Linked DNA regions of Astyanax mexicanus. The protein of the gene in region 1 purifies or fractionates together with the protein of each later gene. This does not show direct contact. Links are inferred from orthologs where the notes say so. Each region holds a gene or a part of one and is shown on either strand. Other genes may lie near its edges.

Region 1 (8,197 bases):
AGTTAATTAATGAATTAATTTATAATTAATTAAACTACCTTAAACTAAGTTCAAATACATTTTATATTTCTGTGAGAAAACACATTTGGTACCTTTGATGTGCAAAGCTCCAGTGTTGAACTTCTTTTCTATACCAGACACTTTGTTTAAATAAAAGCGGTATGTGTCGTTCATAGCTGATAAGTTGGCCTCAAAGAAATCGCTGGGCTCCTCTTTATAGTAATTAGCACCGTGGGGGCTCGGCGGACGCTTCTCCTCGGTCTTCTTCCTCGGTGGACTTCTGGAGCTCGGCTGTTTAGGCTTTGTTTTAGGGGCAGATGAAGGAGCTGCATCATCATCATCACTGCTAGAGAGGTTCCAGCCTCCCTCGTCGGTTTCTCTCTTGCGTTTCAGAGCTGGAGAAGAGCTGTTTTCATATTTTACAGGATTGTTCTGGCTGAGGTGCGCTGCCTCTCGGGCCTCAGAGCCCATGGGGAGGGAGGAGGTGGGAGGGATTTTCTCAGTCTTAACTGGTGGCTTAGGTTTCACATTAACTTGTGATTTGGGCTCAGGCTTGGGTTTTGGAACAGTGTTAACCGTAGAGGCTTTGCTCTCTGGGTCTGGCTTCACATTTGGCTTGGGGTTTAGCTTGATGTCTGGCTTTTTCGGGGGTGTTGGAGGTACTATGTTGTCATCTTCGTCACTGTCGGACAGGGTCCACTTGCCGTGTTGACTCTCCTGTGACATTCTGTTCTACTGCAGAAACAAAAAAGCAGACATGACCACCAAGTTATTCAAAATAACGCACTTTTACAGCAGCTTTGTCTCTACAGTGTGTTACACCAAATCAGAGTGGGTGGACAAGATAACAATAGTCAACTTTTAATTTGAAGAGACTAAATCATAATTATGAAGACAGGAACATGGTGAGTCATATTAAGCTGCTTGTCAATAAGCAGTATGGGTCTAAAATTATTATAATAAATTTAGAAAAAAGTTCTACACAAAGTTCTGCAAAACCCATACAAGCAGAGACACAGAACACTAAGAATGAAATGATAATCTCACTATTTAAAGAGTCAGTGGATACCAAACAAAGCTATGACCTTGTGGAGTCCCAACAAGGTTATTTTATTGGCTTTAACCCAGGTACACTCTCTGTTCCAACCACTATACACTCATTAGTGCATTGCACAATGCAGCACTGTGCTGTTATTCTTTATATATATTTTAATATTATTCCACTTGTTTTGTGGACTTTGTTTTAAATCTTAGTCATTGAAGACATTGAAAGGTTTGGGGTTCCAACTTTCACATATCCAATCGACACTTATGTGGAATATTGTCTGTATATATATATATATAGTATAGAATTTGTACATTAAGCCTTCATTCTCTGTCCAAAATACTAACACAAGATTTGCAATGTGAATGTAAACTTTTAACCACATATTTACATTCAACATAGCAACAATTTAAATACCCTTGCAACCACTTAGAAAATGCCATCCACATGCAATCAAAAAGCAACCTCTTAGCAACCACCTATCAACTGCTTAAGAAACATCATAAAAAGCAAACTCAGACAGCATAGCAACCCCTGAGATATCATATCAACCTCTTAGTAACCCCATAAAAAAACAACCACGTAGCAACCCCAGCCTATTATTATTTTTTTATTTTTATCATTTATTATTATTATTATTATTATTATTATTCTGAGATTATATTTATTACAACATATTGTAAATTTCACTTTGCCTTTTTTATTTTTTTGTTATGTTTTTAAGTTTGTTTTCCCACCTTGTTTTTTAATAATGGGTGACTCATTCATTACCACATTCTTTATGGGCATAGAGCAGTCTATCCTGATATAGATTTTTGCCATATTGTCCAGCCCTAATATACATATATACAAAAAACAATATTTGATACCTACAAAAACAATCCTATATATTTAATGCCCTGCAAAAATCTTGAATGGCAGTTTTTTTGTTTGTTTTTATTTATTTATTTTTTTTTTTCTTCAGTTTTTGGCATTATTTGAATCTGGCAGTTGCTCCACACAAATGCTCCATAATTTCTTGCAATAAATTAATATTACATTAATTTTCATTATTCTGTAAAAACAGAAATCTTTGCATAAAATTTAAAATTTAAAATGGTTAGAAATATATCATTGTATCTACTCTAGGTTACATAAAATAACTAACTTACAGATCAGCTCCCTCACTCATTCTATGGGGAAGAACACTAACCTATATATGTGTTTTTTAGGAGCTAAATACGATGTGATGTATTAGAGAAGTTTAAACACAGTAAACACTCCGGAGGACAGGACATAACCCTTTTGGACCCTACATCCATTACAATGGACATCTTGTTTTTTTTTTCTTTATTTTTAAATGTTTTGTTGCACATAACACTATTTGAGGGCTGTTGGCCATGAACCAGCCAATGCATAAAATTTAAAACGAATGAAACTACTAAAGATAATTCAGTTCTGACTATGTTAATTAGTAGGCTGCCAGGCTGTAATTTAAGAGATTTAATGCTAGCTTATTGGGCGAGCTGTAGCTAATTCACTAGTATACATTTTAATTACATTTAAGTACTTAATTTAAAAAGCTACAGAGAAATACACGTAACAACTGCTAGGTTAGTTAAGTTATCTGGTTTAGTACATAAAAAAAGCATTCGTGCACTCATACAGTCGTACACATGTAAATAGTTTAGTTTATTTACTAATAAATTAGATAGTTTAGTTTTCCTACACAGTAAGCTTTACCTAAACACAAACACCAACATCTGCAGAGCATTACACACACAGCCCCCAGCCCACAGCACACACACTTAACTTACTCCGGCGGGAAAATTCTGCAGCTTTAGGGCTATTTCCACCTCATATAATAACCTGTAATCACTGCAGACGCTGCACTATCACCAAATAAAATAACAGAAAATAACAAAAATTCGCCTGTTTAAGCCTCTGTATCGCTTATTTTACGCTTGTTTTGAACTCCAATGCAGATTTTGCTTCTGTTTAGGTCTGAATCAACACGCTGGACTCAGAGCTCTTCAAAATAAAAGTCCTCTTTATATGAAGCGTATGTCTGTGTGTAATGTGGAGCACTGGGTTTCAATATACAAAAATATAATTCAGGTATTTAAAACGTTTCCTTGTTTTAATAAAACGTTTTAACGATTTAATAAATGGTTTAATAAATGTAATACATTGTTCAGTTGGTTTTAATAATAATATAATAATAATACTAATAATACTAATAATACTAATAATACTAATAATAATAATAATAATAATAATAATAAGTGTTGATTTTATTTGTCTGTTTAACATGCCCTTAATTTAATAAAAGGTTGCATTTGCTAAACAAAAAAAAAATACTTTCAAATAATTAACTCAATTCCTGTTTCTTTAGTCTACATTAAAAAAAAATCCCCCCAACCTCAAAGCTTTATTAAATTAAGGGAACGTTTTATTAAATTAAGGGAACATGCCTCAGTATTATTGTACTGCCTTCATACGTATAGGTGTTATTAGAATGGTTTTATTAGAGCATTAAATTTAAATAGTAGTTAATGTATTTTGTACTAAACTAGCTAACTGTACAAGGTGTACACTGTACAAGGTGTGCTTTTATATGACATTTTATCATCCCCTCCATTAAATACAATTTAATTTAAAAACTAAATCTTTTGTTTAGTAATTAAACTCATTTTCCTTTAGTTTACAAGAATACCCTCAACACTAAACTGAAGCAAAGCTGTATTAAATTAAGAAAACGTTTTAATAAATTGAGACTCTTTTTTTTATTCTTTTATTATGTTTTTTTTTATATTTTATTATGGAATAATCTAGATAATAAATAATATTGGAATCATAAATTCAACTTTCATGTTTCACGTTTCTGTTTTAATTTCTTGTTACCAAAAGTGTAACACAAATGTTAAGGGAATGATCACAGCCTATCTATTTATTTATTTGTTTATTTATTAGCTTAAATAATTTATTTTACTAAACGTTTCTTCACTGAACTTTTATTGTCTAAAAAAAACGACTGTTCGGTTGCTAGGCAACGAAGACTGGTCGAAGGTATACAAGGCAGGCTAAGGTGTAAAGTTATATGCTAGTTACCTGGTTTAGAGCACACTAACTAATAGCTAACTGTACTACAGCTGTAAAATATTACTATAGTATTACTATATACACTATTAACTAGCAATAATAGGGAGAAATGTCTGGAGTTCGGGGTGCTGGCAGAGAGATACTAACCAAAACTGAGAGAAAAAGATTTATTTGGGTAAGATTTTCAGCGCTATCCAGAACTTTGTAACGCTAACTTACTAGCTAGTTAGCTAACTAGCGTGCTAACCAACCTAGCTGCTAGTTAACTAGTTAGCCACTTCTCTGACTTATGACTTTTAAAATATTTAGTTTATGTTGCTGTTGTTGAATAAACACTGTTTAGGTGTTTTGTAAGTATATTCATGCTTCAGTAATGCTGAAATTCAGTCCGAACAAAGTATTTAGCTTAACTAGTTCTAGAATTAGTTTTAGAAAAAGAATATTATCTTCAGAATAGCTTGCTAATAATAATGCTTTTAGCTATAAAGCACCAGCGAGCTGAAATTCACTAAAGGAAACTCAGCTCACTGGTTTTACTAAACCATTTTAAACCACCTTCAGACAGCCTTTATTTCTTGTTTTAGTTCTTATCTTAGTTTTTTATTTCTTTCATTATTTTTGTATTATTACTTGTTAATTTGTATATTTATTATTATTATTATTATTATTGTTATTATTATTATTTATTTTTTAAATTGTACTATGTAAGTTTGTTTTAGCTTAATTTTTACAGATTTCTATTTTATAATTTTATCTTCTTTTTATGTTTAATTTCTTATCAATATAACCTCAAATTTTATTTTTTATCTATTGTAATCTTTTATTCTCTGTTATTTAAAAATATATATTTTTTTATTTAAAGTGATTCAAAATAAAGGTTGATTGTTAATAGCCTAAGCCTATGCTCAGGTAAAGTAAACTTGTTAATTAACTTGCATGTTAGGTTACTTTGCTAGCTAAATTCTATAAAAAAAGCTCAAATAAAAAAAAAACTGTACTATAATGTATAATAGTGTCACTGTGCAAAACATTTACTCTAGCTAAAATAACTGTTGCTGTATTTAATTTAAATATGCTTGTTGATAACAGTTATGTTAACTAGCTACAACAGTTTTAAGTCTTGTTACTCAAATTATAGTACAGTGTTTTATTTTATGTGTTTAGTTTTTTTTTCATTGGATTTATCTAGCAAGGTAAATAACAGACAAGTTTACTTTTGCTTATTTTTGTTTAGTGCCTAGCTAGCTTCTCACCGTACCTTTAACTAAATATTTAGGCTAATTGGCTATGTTGTAAAAAGCCCGATGTTCGCTTTCTTTTGTGAACTAATAATGTTAACTACAGTCTAAAATTATAGTTTTCTTGAAGAAAAAGCTATCGCCCGAACAGGGACTTGAACCCTGGACCCTCAGATTAAAAGTCTGATGCTCTACCGACTGAGCTATCCGGGCTCTGAGTAGCAGTGGGAAATCTCTCAATATAAGTTAGCTATCGGTATGCACTTTATTTTAACATTAGCTAGTTAGCTAGCTTGCTAACACATGTTTACATACTGTAAAATTAATGTAATAATAAGTAAGTTACACAGTGTAAGCATTAAAGGAGATTCACACCATATGGTAGCACAACAGTATTAACAATAACATCATACAGTTGATTGTAACACTACACAATGCATAATATTAGTGTGGTTATAATTACGAATATATATATATATATATATATATATATATATATATATATATATATATATATATATATATATATATATATATATATATATAGGTATATATATTAGGTATTAGTAACATTGTTAAAGTAATGGTAGCTAACACCATGAGGAAATCTGTTACACTATATATAACACAGTAGTTACGTTACACAATACTGAGAGCATGGTAGCTAACACCATAATGGGCGCTGTGGCACCATAAAAGTAACAGTAACGCTACAAAGGAAACAGGAGATTTATTGTAACACCGTGTGACCGACACAGTACAGTCTAAAAATGTGCATAGTGAGAATAAAGTGCAGAGATAAGTGACATACTGTAAAAATATAGGTCATACATTATCACAGCAGGTACTGAGGTAACGTTAGAGAATAGGGGTTTGTCATATCGTATCATACGCAATAATATCGCCCAAAAAATGATATAAAAAATCATATCATGATATTGTGATATTGTTTAAAGCAGTTTATTTTTCATTCTTTGTATTTGTTTTATTTACGTTTAATTATTTGTTTAAAGTTTGTATGCTGCACTTTAGTTTTATGATATATTTTTGTTGGTACATTGCTTTATTTTTGTTGCATTTTGTTACATTTTTGTCTTACATTATTATTTTATACAAAGTCAGGGTCTTGGTAAGTTAACTTTACTTACAAATATAAATATATATATAATATATATATATATATATATATATATATATATATATATATATATATATATATATATATATATATATATATATTTTTTTTTTTTTTTTTTAACAAATGAATGACACAGTTTTATTTTTATACCTGAAACACTTATATACCTGAAAAATGTTTTTTTTTTTTCATATTGGTAAGAATATCATTGTTGCAGAAAATACCCTAAATTATTGTGATATTCTTTTAAAGCCATATCACCCACCCCAAGTAGAGAATATACATTACTTAGTGGAATATTGCTGAAAAGGGTATAGACAGTTTCTCTGTGTGTGTGTGTGTGTGTGTGTGTGTGTGTGTGTGTGTGTGTGTGTGTGTGTGTGTGTGGAAAGTGATGTGAGGGTGGATATATCTGGCTGAATTGCTCTCTTTTGCACGACTGACCAATAATAATATATATAATCAGTACTTCTGTAACCTTAAATTCACCTTTTATATTTCTGTTTCAACCTCTTGTTACCAATAAAGTATAATTGTATAATTGTTTATATTTAGCTATGCTTTCATCATGTCCAGGGTTCTGGTGATCAATAAAGCTCATTATTATTTTTATATTAGATTCATTTATATAATAAAGCTGCAAATCAAAGGAAGTTTGGGTTGTAGAGTATCAAAGCCATATGCTAGCTTTGTATACACTCTCATGTTTTGTGTATCTTGGTTTTTCTTGTTTTCCCTCAGGTTTTTGAGCAGTGTGATGTGGAGAAGAAAGGTTACCTGTCCAGAGAAGATCTTAAAATTGCAGTTGTTATGCTGTTTGGATACAAGCCCTCAAAGGTAGTTCCTGGTGCAGCCCCTAGAGAGCGACATTTGATAGGTTATAATCTGGGCTGTGGTGGTCTGGTAGTGGTGTGTAGAATACAGTAATTCTTAAACATTTTAGACCATGTGTGCTTATTCCTGGTCCTGGAGATAAACCACCACCCTGGATATTGTGTGATCCAACACCCCTAGGGTGTGTCCCAATTGCATATTAGTTACTAATACTAACTAATATACTCAAATATCCACAATACACACGTAGAACTGGTCGTTTTTTCAGCGTGGATACTCCGGACACTTTTATCTCACAATGCAATGCAAAATGGAGAGTGAGGAGTTGAAAAATTTAGATGACTATGCATTAGTTAACTGAAATTAAGTGCAGTAGGTGGCTGTAAAACCACATTTTTATTGCAGTATTAGCAATATATACAAATGTAAAAAAAAAATGAAAACACTTCAGAATGCTGGAGAACGCCTTCATCACTTCTGTTTTAGTACATTTATAATTTTTGTACTAACTGGTCAATTGGGACACAGCCTTAGTTTAGCCCACTCACATATCCCAGAAGACCTTAATTACTTGGGTCAGGTGTGTAAGATTGGAAGGGAAGGTTGTGGATAGGCTGTGGATCTCCAGGATCAGGATTATACAACCCTGTTTCAGACCGTACACCATCCATGATTTAACAAATACTTAGAAGTTAGAGCATCAGGCCATTGACAATAAGGTTGTGGGTTTAATATGCAGGTTTGGTGGGCTGCCACTGTTGGGCCCTTGAGCAAGACTGGGCCCTTAACCCTCACTGCTCTCTGGACGCTGCAGTGATGGCTCCCACTGCTCTTGGCACATATTTTTACATTATCACTGTG
Region 2 (7,760 bases), on another chromosome or scaffold:
AGCAGTTTAGATTAATATAGTTTAGCTCCACCCATTCAGCCTAAAGCAGTTTAGATAATATAGTTTAGCTCCACCCATTCAGCCTAAAGCAGTTCAGATAATATAGTTTAGCTCCACCCATTCAGCCTACAGCAGTTTAGATTAGATTAGTTTAGCTCCACCCATTCAGCCTACAGCAGTTTAGATTAATATAGTTTAGCTCCACCCATTCAGCCTAAAGCAGTTTAGATTAATATAGTTTAGCTCCACCCATTCAGCCTAAAGCAGTTTAGATTAGATTAGTTTAGCTCCACCCATTCAGCCTAAAGCAGTTTAGATAATATAGTTTAGCTCCACCCATTCAGCCTAAAGCAGTTTAGATAATATAGTTTAGCTCCACCCATTCAGCCTACAGCAGTTTAGATTAATATAGTTTAGCTCCACCCATTCAGCCTACAGCAGTTTAGATTAATATAGTTTAGCTCCACCCATTCAGCCTAAAGCAGTTTAGATTAGATTAGTTTAGCTCCACCCATTCAGCCTAAAGCAGTTTAGATAATATAGTTTAGCTCCACCCATTCAGCCTAAAGCAGTTTAGATAATATAGTTTAGCTCCACCCATTCAGCCTACAGCAGTTTAGATTAATATAGTTTAGCTCCACCCATTCAGCCTAAAGCAGTTTAAATTAATATAGTTTAGCTCCACCCATTCAGCCTACAGCAGTTTAGATTAATATAGTTTAGCTCCACCCATTCAGCCTACAGCAGTTTAGATTAGATTAGTTTAGCTGCACCCATTCAGCCTACAGCAGTTTAGGTTAGATTAGTTTAGCTCCACCCATTCAGCCTACAGCAGTTTAGGTTAGATTAGTTTAGCTCCACCCACTCAGCCTACAGCAGTTTAGGTTAGATTAGTTTAGCTCCACTCTTTCAAGCTGAAGTTATAAATGGTTCCACTAGTGATCTAGAACACTAGCAGCGTTAGCGCTGTTAGCAGCATTAGCGTAGCGTCTCCCGTCGCAGACGAGATTAGGTTTCAAACCTGTAAGATAACGGACGTCTGCTTCTCCCCGGGTCGGGCAGATTTCCACTTCCTGTACGTGTCGGAGCTCAGCAGGTTATCCGCCTTGTGAGTCTGAGAAACAGAAATTATATAAATTATTACAGAAGCTCACTAATAATTCAGACGCATTTCTACAGTAAATAAACATTTACTCACTGAGTCCTCAGTGCTGCAGGAAACCACGTGCTTCAGTTTAATCTCCGGCATGTTGCACGCTCAGAAACCCTGTAAATATATTAGATATTAAATTAGTTTTCTTTATTTTCAGATAATTAAAGAAAAATGATGGAAATTCTGAAATAAAAAAATTATTTTACTATACCTGGATTTAAAAACACGCCTATTAATACTTAAATCTACATAACGAATTATTATTATAAACTACCTTTTAGTAACTCTCCCTTACACCTTAAATGGTGCTGGAGTTACACTTAAGGCTACAGCATTTAAGGTGGAAAGAACATTCCAATATGAACCCACGTAAAAAGAAGCACATTTCACTCTAATTTAAAACAAAATTACACATGACATAACTACATTTCTAAGAGATGAATTACCATCCTTTTAAAACATAATAAAAACAAAGTTTACAACTAAAATGAAATGAGGAATATTCTGTATTAAAACACACTTTTAAACACACTGTTTGGTGTTTCTACTACATTCAGATTTAACCTGTTGTATTACTTACACTTTTTTATTTTTATTAAATAAACTAAAATAAAGAATATTATAAATGAAACTGTCAACATGTATACACTTTAATGCAAAAATTAACCTACAAAATCCTATTTTCAAGCTACTTCTTTTGGAACTCCCCGTTCCACCTTATATTGTATCAGGCGCTTGAATGCAACTGATGCAGCATTTAAGGTGGAACGAAAAGCTCCAACAAAAAAACTATAGATAAAAAGTGTAAAAAAATAAATAAATAAATAAATAAACTTTCCTATACATTAACAAGATAGGCTAACCTTAATAAAGTAACTTATCATAAAATAAAATATTATAAAATAATAAAGCTTATACCCCTATAACCTACTAACACAACATAATTTATAAAGATAGCTTAAAATAATCGCCGTTATATTAATAGAATTTGCTTAATTTTTAATAAATAAAATTAAATAAAGGATATTACAGATTTAAATTATTTAATTACAAAATCCTGATTTTAAACTACTTCTTTTGAAACTCTACGGTCCACCTTCCTTCAATAGCATCATGTGCTCGAATGCAACTGATGCAGCATTTAAAGCAAAAACTATACATAAAAAGTGTATATAAAAAAAATCTTCACTCTAAATTTAGAAGATAACATATATAAAAATATATAAACATATGACAGTCAATATATGCTAGATAAACATAAATAACATATAAAACATTATAAAAACAAAGCTTATACCACTTTAACCTACAAACACAACATATTATAGACACAATGTATAAAGACAGCTTATAAAGTATTAGCCACTATATTAATAACATTTGCTTAATTTTTTATAAAAGGATATTATGGATTAATATGTAATTTGTGTATACATTAGTGTATACATTGTATTTAGATTTTATTATAGAGGCTAATCGCTTAAGCTAGCTGAATATATTAGCTATGATTTGTTTGTAGGTTATAGGGGTATAATCTTTGTTTATATAATGTTTTATAAGTGTTATTTATGCGTATCTATCATATATAAATGAGTCTGTGTGTTACATGTTCATTTTTAAAGGTTACGATCAAAATTTAGAATGAAGTTTGCCTCTTTTTATCTATAGTTTTAGTCTTCTCGGAACTTTCCAGTCCACCTTAAATTCATTCATTCATGCATTCAAGCGCCTAATGCTATTTAAGGTGGAACGGAGAGTTCCAAAAAAAGCAGTTTAAAATCAGGATTTTGTAGTTAATTTTTGCTGAAAGGGAATTCTTTTTATTATTAATTACATTTGCTTAATTATGAATAAATTAAATTAAATATAGGGTTTTATAGATTAAAACTTAATTTGTTTAAAAAAATTAACTACAAAAATCCTGATTTTAAACTACTGCTTTTGGAAATCTCCGTTCCACCTTAAAAAGCATCGTGCGCTTGAATGCAATTGATATAGCATTTAAGGTGGAACGGAGAGTTCCAAGAAGAAGGCAGCTAAAAAGAAGCAAACTTTACTCTAAATTAACACACACATTTACTAAATTAAAAAATAGCATATAAAGTATTTTATACATCATTACTTATCATAAATAAAACTTAATAAACTATAATAAATCACAGCTACAGCGGAACAAACCGCTAACAGTGCCAATGCTAAGCTAACCTGCTAACAACACTTTATAACAATACAGCAACAATAACACACAGCTAATTAGAGCTTTAAAATACAGGATAAACCGCAAACACGCAAAAACCCGCAACATACCTACAGCATGAGCCCGCGCGCCGCCGGATCCCGCTCTTAATACCGATAAAATACCGATGAATGACCGATAAACTCTCAGCGCGCGGAGTAACGCAGGAATCAGCAGCAGCAGCAGCACTCCGCCCGCAGCGCCGTAACCGAGCCTCCAGCGGGGCGCGCTCCAATCCGCTACTGCCACTGAGCACTAGGTAGTGCACACTAGGAAGTGAACACAGGGCCTGGAGGGTCCCTAAGTCGACAGGAGCGCGACCCAGAGTTCTGTGCGCCACCTGTTGGCGAGAGACAGCAAAGCACCGAGAAAATAAGCAATATAGCATAAAACTATTATATATGGCAAATTCCTCAGAATCTGTGCCATTTCTGTCCCCAGGAAATACATCTATAAATATAAACACAAAATAACTTTAAAATATATTTTATTATTAAGCATAGTGTCTTGTACCTAATTGACCTTATTGCAAAAGTAAGATATATAATTTAAAACATTAATAAAAACTACTTACAACACTTACCCATTCTCCCCCTCTCTAACTATAAACTTTACCATGAAATATATTTATTAAAATCCTTCAGGAATGTATTTTTTTGCATTGTTGTGTGACTCCAAATCTATGCTTTAAAAATATGTTTTTCATAATAAATCCCTAATATTTAAGTTAAAATACACATTTTAGTTGTGTCCCTTGGTTTTTTCACTCAGTCCTGTTACCGTAGCACATTACCCCATCTGAAACATTTGGAATATTCTACAACAGGTAGTTGTAGTGTCCCAAAACTTTAAAATAAAATAAAATTAAAACGTGCTGTGTTGCAGTCTTGTGTTGCTGTGTTGTATTGTTATGCTGTGGTGCTGTCGTGTGTTGTTATGCTGTGGTGCTGTGTTGTATTGTTTTGCTGTGGTGCTGTGTTGTATTGTTATGCTGTGGTGCTGTGTTGTATTGTTATGCTGTGGTGCTGTGTTGTATTGTTATGCTGTGGTGCTGTGGTGTGTTGCCGCACTGTCTTTTCGTGGTATGTGCTGTGTTGTTGTGGTGTGTTGCCCTGCTGTGTTGCCGTGCTGTGTTGCTGTATTGTGTTGCCGTGCTGTGTTGCTGTATTGTGTTGCCGTGCTGTGTTGCTGTGTTGTATTGTTATGCTGTGGTGCTGTGTTGTTGTGGTGTGTTGCCGTGTTGTGTTGCTGTATTGTGTTGCTGTATTGTGTTGCCGTGCTGCGTTGCTGTGTTGTATTGTTATGCTGTGTTGCTGTGGTGTGTTGCCGCACTGTCTTTTCGTGGTATGTGCTGTGTTGCCGTGCTGTGTTGCTGTGTTGTATTGTTATGCTGTGGTGCTGTGGTGTGTTGCCGTGCTGTGTTGCAGTGTTGTGTTGCTGTGTTGTATTGTTATGCTGTGGTGCCGTGTTGTGGTGCCGTGTTGTGTTGCCGTGCTGTGTTGCCGTGCTGTGTTGCTGTGTTGTATTGTTATGCTGTGGTGTGTTGCAGTGTTGTGTTGCCGTGTTGTGTTGCCGTGCTGTGTTGCCGTGCTGTGTTGCTGTGTTGTATTGTTATGCTGTGGTGCCGTGTTGTGTTGCCGTGTTGCTGTGTTGTATTGTTATGCTGTGGTGTGTTGCAGTGTTGTGTTGCCGTTTTGTATTGTTATGCTGTGGTGTGTTGCAGTGTTGTGTTGCCGTGCTGTGTTGCCGTGCTGTGTTGCTGTGTTGTATTGTTATGCTGTGTTGCTGTGGTGTGTTGCCGCACTGTCTTTTCGTGGTATGTGCTGTGTTGCCGTGCTGTGTTGCTGTGTTGTATTGTTATGCTGTGGTGCTGTGGTGTGTTGCCGTGCTGTGTTGCCGTGTTGTGTTGCTGTGTTGTATTGTTATGCTGTGGTGCTGTGGTGTGTTGCCGTGCTGTGTTGCTGTGTTGTATTGTTATGCTGTGGTGTGTTGCAGTGTTGTGTTGTGTTGTTATGCTGTGGTGCCGTGTTGTGTTGCCGTGCTGTGTTGCTGTGTTGTATTGTTATGCTGTGGTGCCGTGTTGTGGTGCCGTGTTGTGTTGCCGTGCTGTGTTGCCGTGCTGTGTTGCTGTGTTGTATTGTTATGCTGTGGTGTGTTGCAGTGTTGTGTTGTGTTGTTATGCTGTGGTGTGTTGCAGTGTTGTGTTGTATTGTTATGCTGTGGTGCCGTGTTGTGTTGCCGTGCTGTGTTGCCGTGCTGTGTTGCTGTGTTGTATTGTTATGCTGTGGTGTGTTGCAGTGTTGTGTTGCCGTGTTGTGTTGCCGCACTGTCTTTTCGTGGTATGTGCTGTGTTGTTGTGGTGTGTTGCCCTGCTGTGTTGCCGTGTTGTGTTGCTGTATTGTGTTGCCGTGCTGTGTTGCTGTGTTGTATTGTTATGCTGTGGTGTGTTGCAGTGTTGTGTTGTATTGTTATGCTGTGGTGCCGTGTTGTGTTGCCGCACTGTCTTTTCGTGGTATGTGCTGCGTTGTTGTACTGTGTTGCCGTGCTATGTTGTTGTATTGTGTTGCCATGCTGTTTTGTTGCCGTGCTGTGTTTCAGTGCTGTGTTGCCGTGGCGTTGTTTCCTGCGGCTGGCGAGGTTTAGCTGACCTCAGGTTCTTCTGCTGCTCTCGGTTCCCCTTTCCTCACTAACTATGGGGTTTCCAGTGAAACAGAGAGAGGAGAGTTATATATTAAACTGCACACCACAACAGCCACGCCCACTCACTGCAGGCCACACCCACACACAGGGGGCGGACCTTCAGCAGAACACACCACCACTCCAGCAGCTACGGGTCAGTTAGCAGTCCGGCGTCTCTCCGGTGCAGTGTGTGGTGAGGATATTAAAGATAAAGCTGATGATGATGAAGCTGATGAGGATGATGATGATGTTCTGCTCGGGGATCAGCTCTCTGCCGTCGGGTTCTGCGAGGTTCTGCTGTGGTTCTGTTCTGATGTTCCTCTGGGTGTGGGGTGAGCAATCATTTCAGTCACATTAATACAAATATATTCTCTAGACTAATTAAATATTATTAATCTATAATCGATTAACACACTTTATTCAATGTTGTTTGGCTGTAGAAACACTAAACAGAGTGGCTGTATTTTGAGATGCAGAGCTTTGCAGTAACACTAAAGGGAGGGGCTGTAACTGTTCAGGGGCGGGTCTTTAGTGGAACACTGAGGGGAGGGTTTCTATAAAAGGTATGGGGGCGGGTCTTTAGTGGAACACTGAGTGGAGGGTTTCCATAAAAGGCATGGGGGCGGGTCTTTAGTGGAACACTGAGGGGAGGGTTTCTATAAAAGGTTTGGGGGCGGGTCTTTAGTGGAACACTGAGGGGAGGGTTTCTATATAAGGTTTGAGGGCGTGTCTTTAGTGGAACACTGAGGGGAGGGTTTTTATAAAAGGTATGGGGAGGGGCTTTAGTGGAACACTGAGGGGAGAGTTTATATAAAAGTTATGGGGAGGGGCTTTAATGGAACACTGAGGGGAGGGTTTCTATAAAAGGTATGGGGGAGGGTCTTTAGTGGAACACTGAGGGGAGGGTTTCTATAAAAGGTTTGGGGGAGGGGCTTTAGTGGAAAACTGAGGGGAGGGTTTTTATAAAAGGTTTGGGTGCGGGTCTTTAGTGGAACACTGAGTGGAGGGTTTCCATAAAAGGTATGGGGGCGGGTCTTTAGTGGAACACTGAGGGGAGGGTTTCTGTAAAAGGTTTGGGGGCGGGTCTTTAGTGGAACACTGAGGGGAGGGATTCTATAAAAGGTTTGGGGGCGGGTCTTTAGTGGAACACTAAGGTAAAGGGTTGCTGATCCCCGGCTCCTCCTTCTGTATCTGCAGGTGTTTGCGGCTCTGATTGGTCGGTGAACGTTCCCACCTCTATCGCTGGTGTATCCGGGCTGTGCGTTCATGTCCCCTGCAGCTTCTCGTACCCGGGCCCGAGAGCGCCGGCCAGTAAGATCAGGGGGCTGTGGTTCAGGGGCGGGGCTCTGGTGTGTAACAGCCGGCAGTGGGAGCAGGTGGACGCTCTGTACGTGAACAGAAGCAGAATCGTGGGTTCTCTGGAGAGGAACGAATGCTCGCTGAAGATCGGGCTGCTGGGGACGGGGGACGCCGGGAGTTACATGTTCCGGGTTGAGATAGACGGGCAAGACCGATACTCGTTCAAGGACCAGCGCGTGACCCTCAGCGTGACCGGTCAGTCTGACTCTTCGCACACTGAATAATCACATTTATATTAGAGATTGTCACGATGTTATGCTTGATCAGTGTAAATACCAGTGGTGTGCAGTGAGGACCTTCTAACCCTTCAGAGAAGGGGTGACAATAAGTGCG

What was found.
Region 2: the proteins of tdp1 (region 1) and xrcc1 purify together in Homo sapiens (affinity purification with mass spectrometry; 4 studies listed by BioGRID and IntAct, with this or other methods). This does not show direct contact. The link is inferred for Astyanax mexicanus from reciprocal best matches to the Homo sapiens genes TDP1 and XRCC1.

What each region holds. Positions count from the first base shown.
Region 1 is NC_064421.1:7,932,369-7,940,565, reverse strand, and holds the start of tdp1 (tyrosyl-DNA phosphodiesterase 1), read right to left. Parts: upstream 3,065-8,197; 5' UTR 2,842-3,064; intron 736-2,841; 5' UTR 727-735; coding exon 93-726; intron 1-92. Other genes in the region: efcab11 (EF-hand calcium-binding domain-containing protein 11), read left to right, coding at 4,236-4,301, 7,244-7,339. UniProt on the Homo sapiens protein: DNA repair enzyme that can remove a variety of covalent adducts from DNA through hydrolysis of a 3'-phosphodiester bond, giving rise to DNA with a free 3' phosphate.
Region 2 is NC_064408.1:133,564,423-133,572,182, reverse strand, and holds the start of xrcc1 (DNA repair protein XRCC1), read right to left. Parts: upstream 3,609-7,760; 5' UTR 3,461-3,608; intron 1,268-3,460; 5' UTR 1,250-1,267; coding exon 1,199-1,249; intron 1,115-1,198; coding exon 1,022-1,114; intron 1-1,021. Other genes in the region: sialic acid-binding Ig-like lectin 13, read left to right, coding at 6,286-6,400, 7,266-7,622. UniProt on the Homo sapiens protein: Scaffold protein involved in DNA single-strand break repair by mediating the assembly of DNA break repair protein complexes. Negatively regulates ADP-ribosyltransferase activity of PARP1 during base-excision repair in order to prevent excessive PARP1 activity.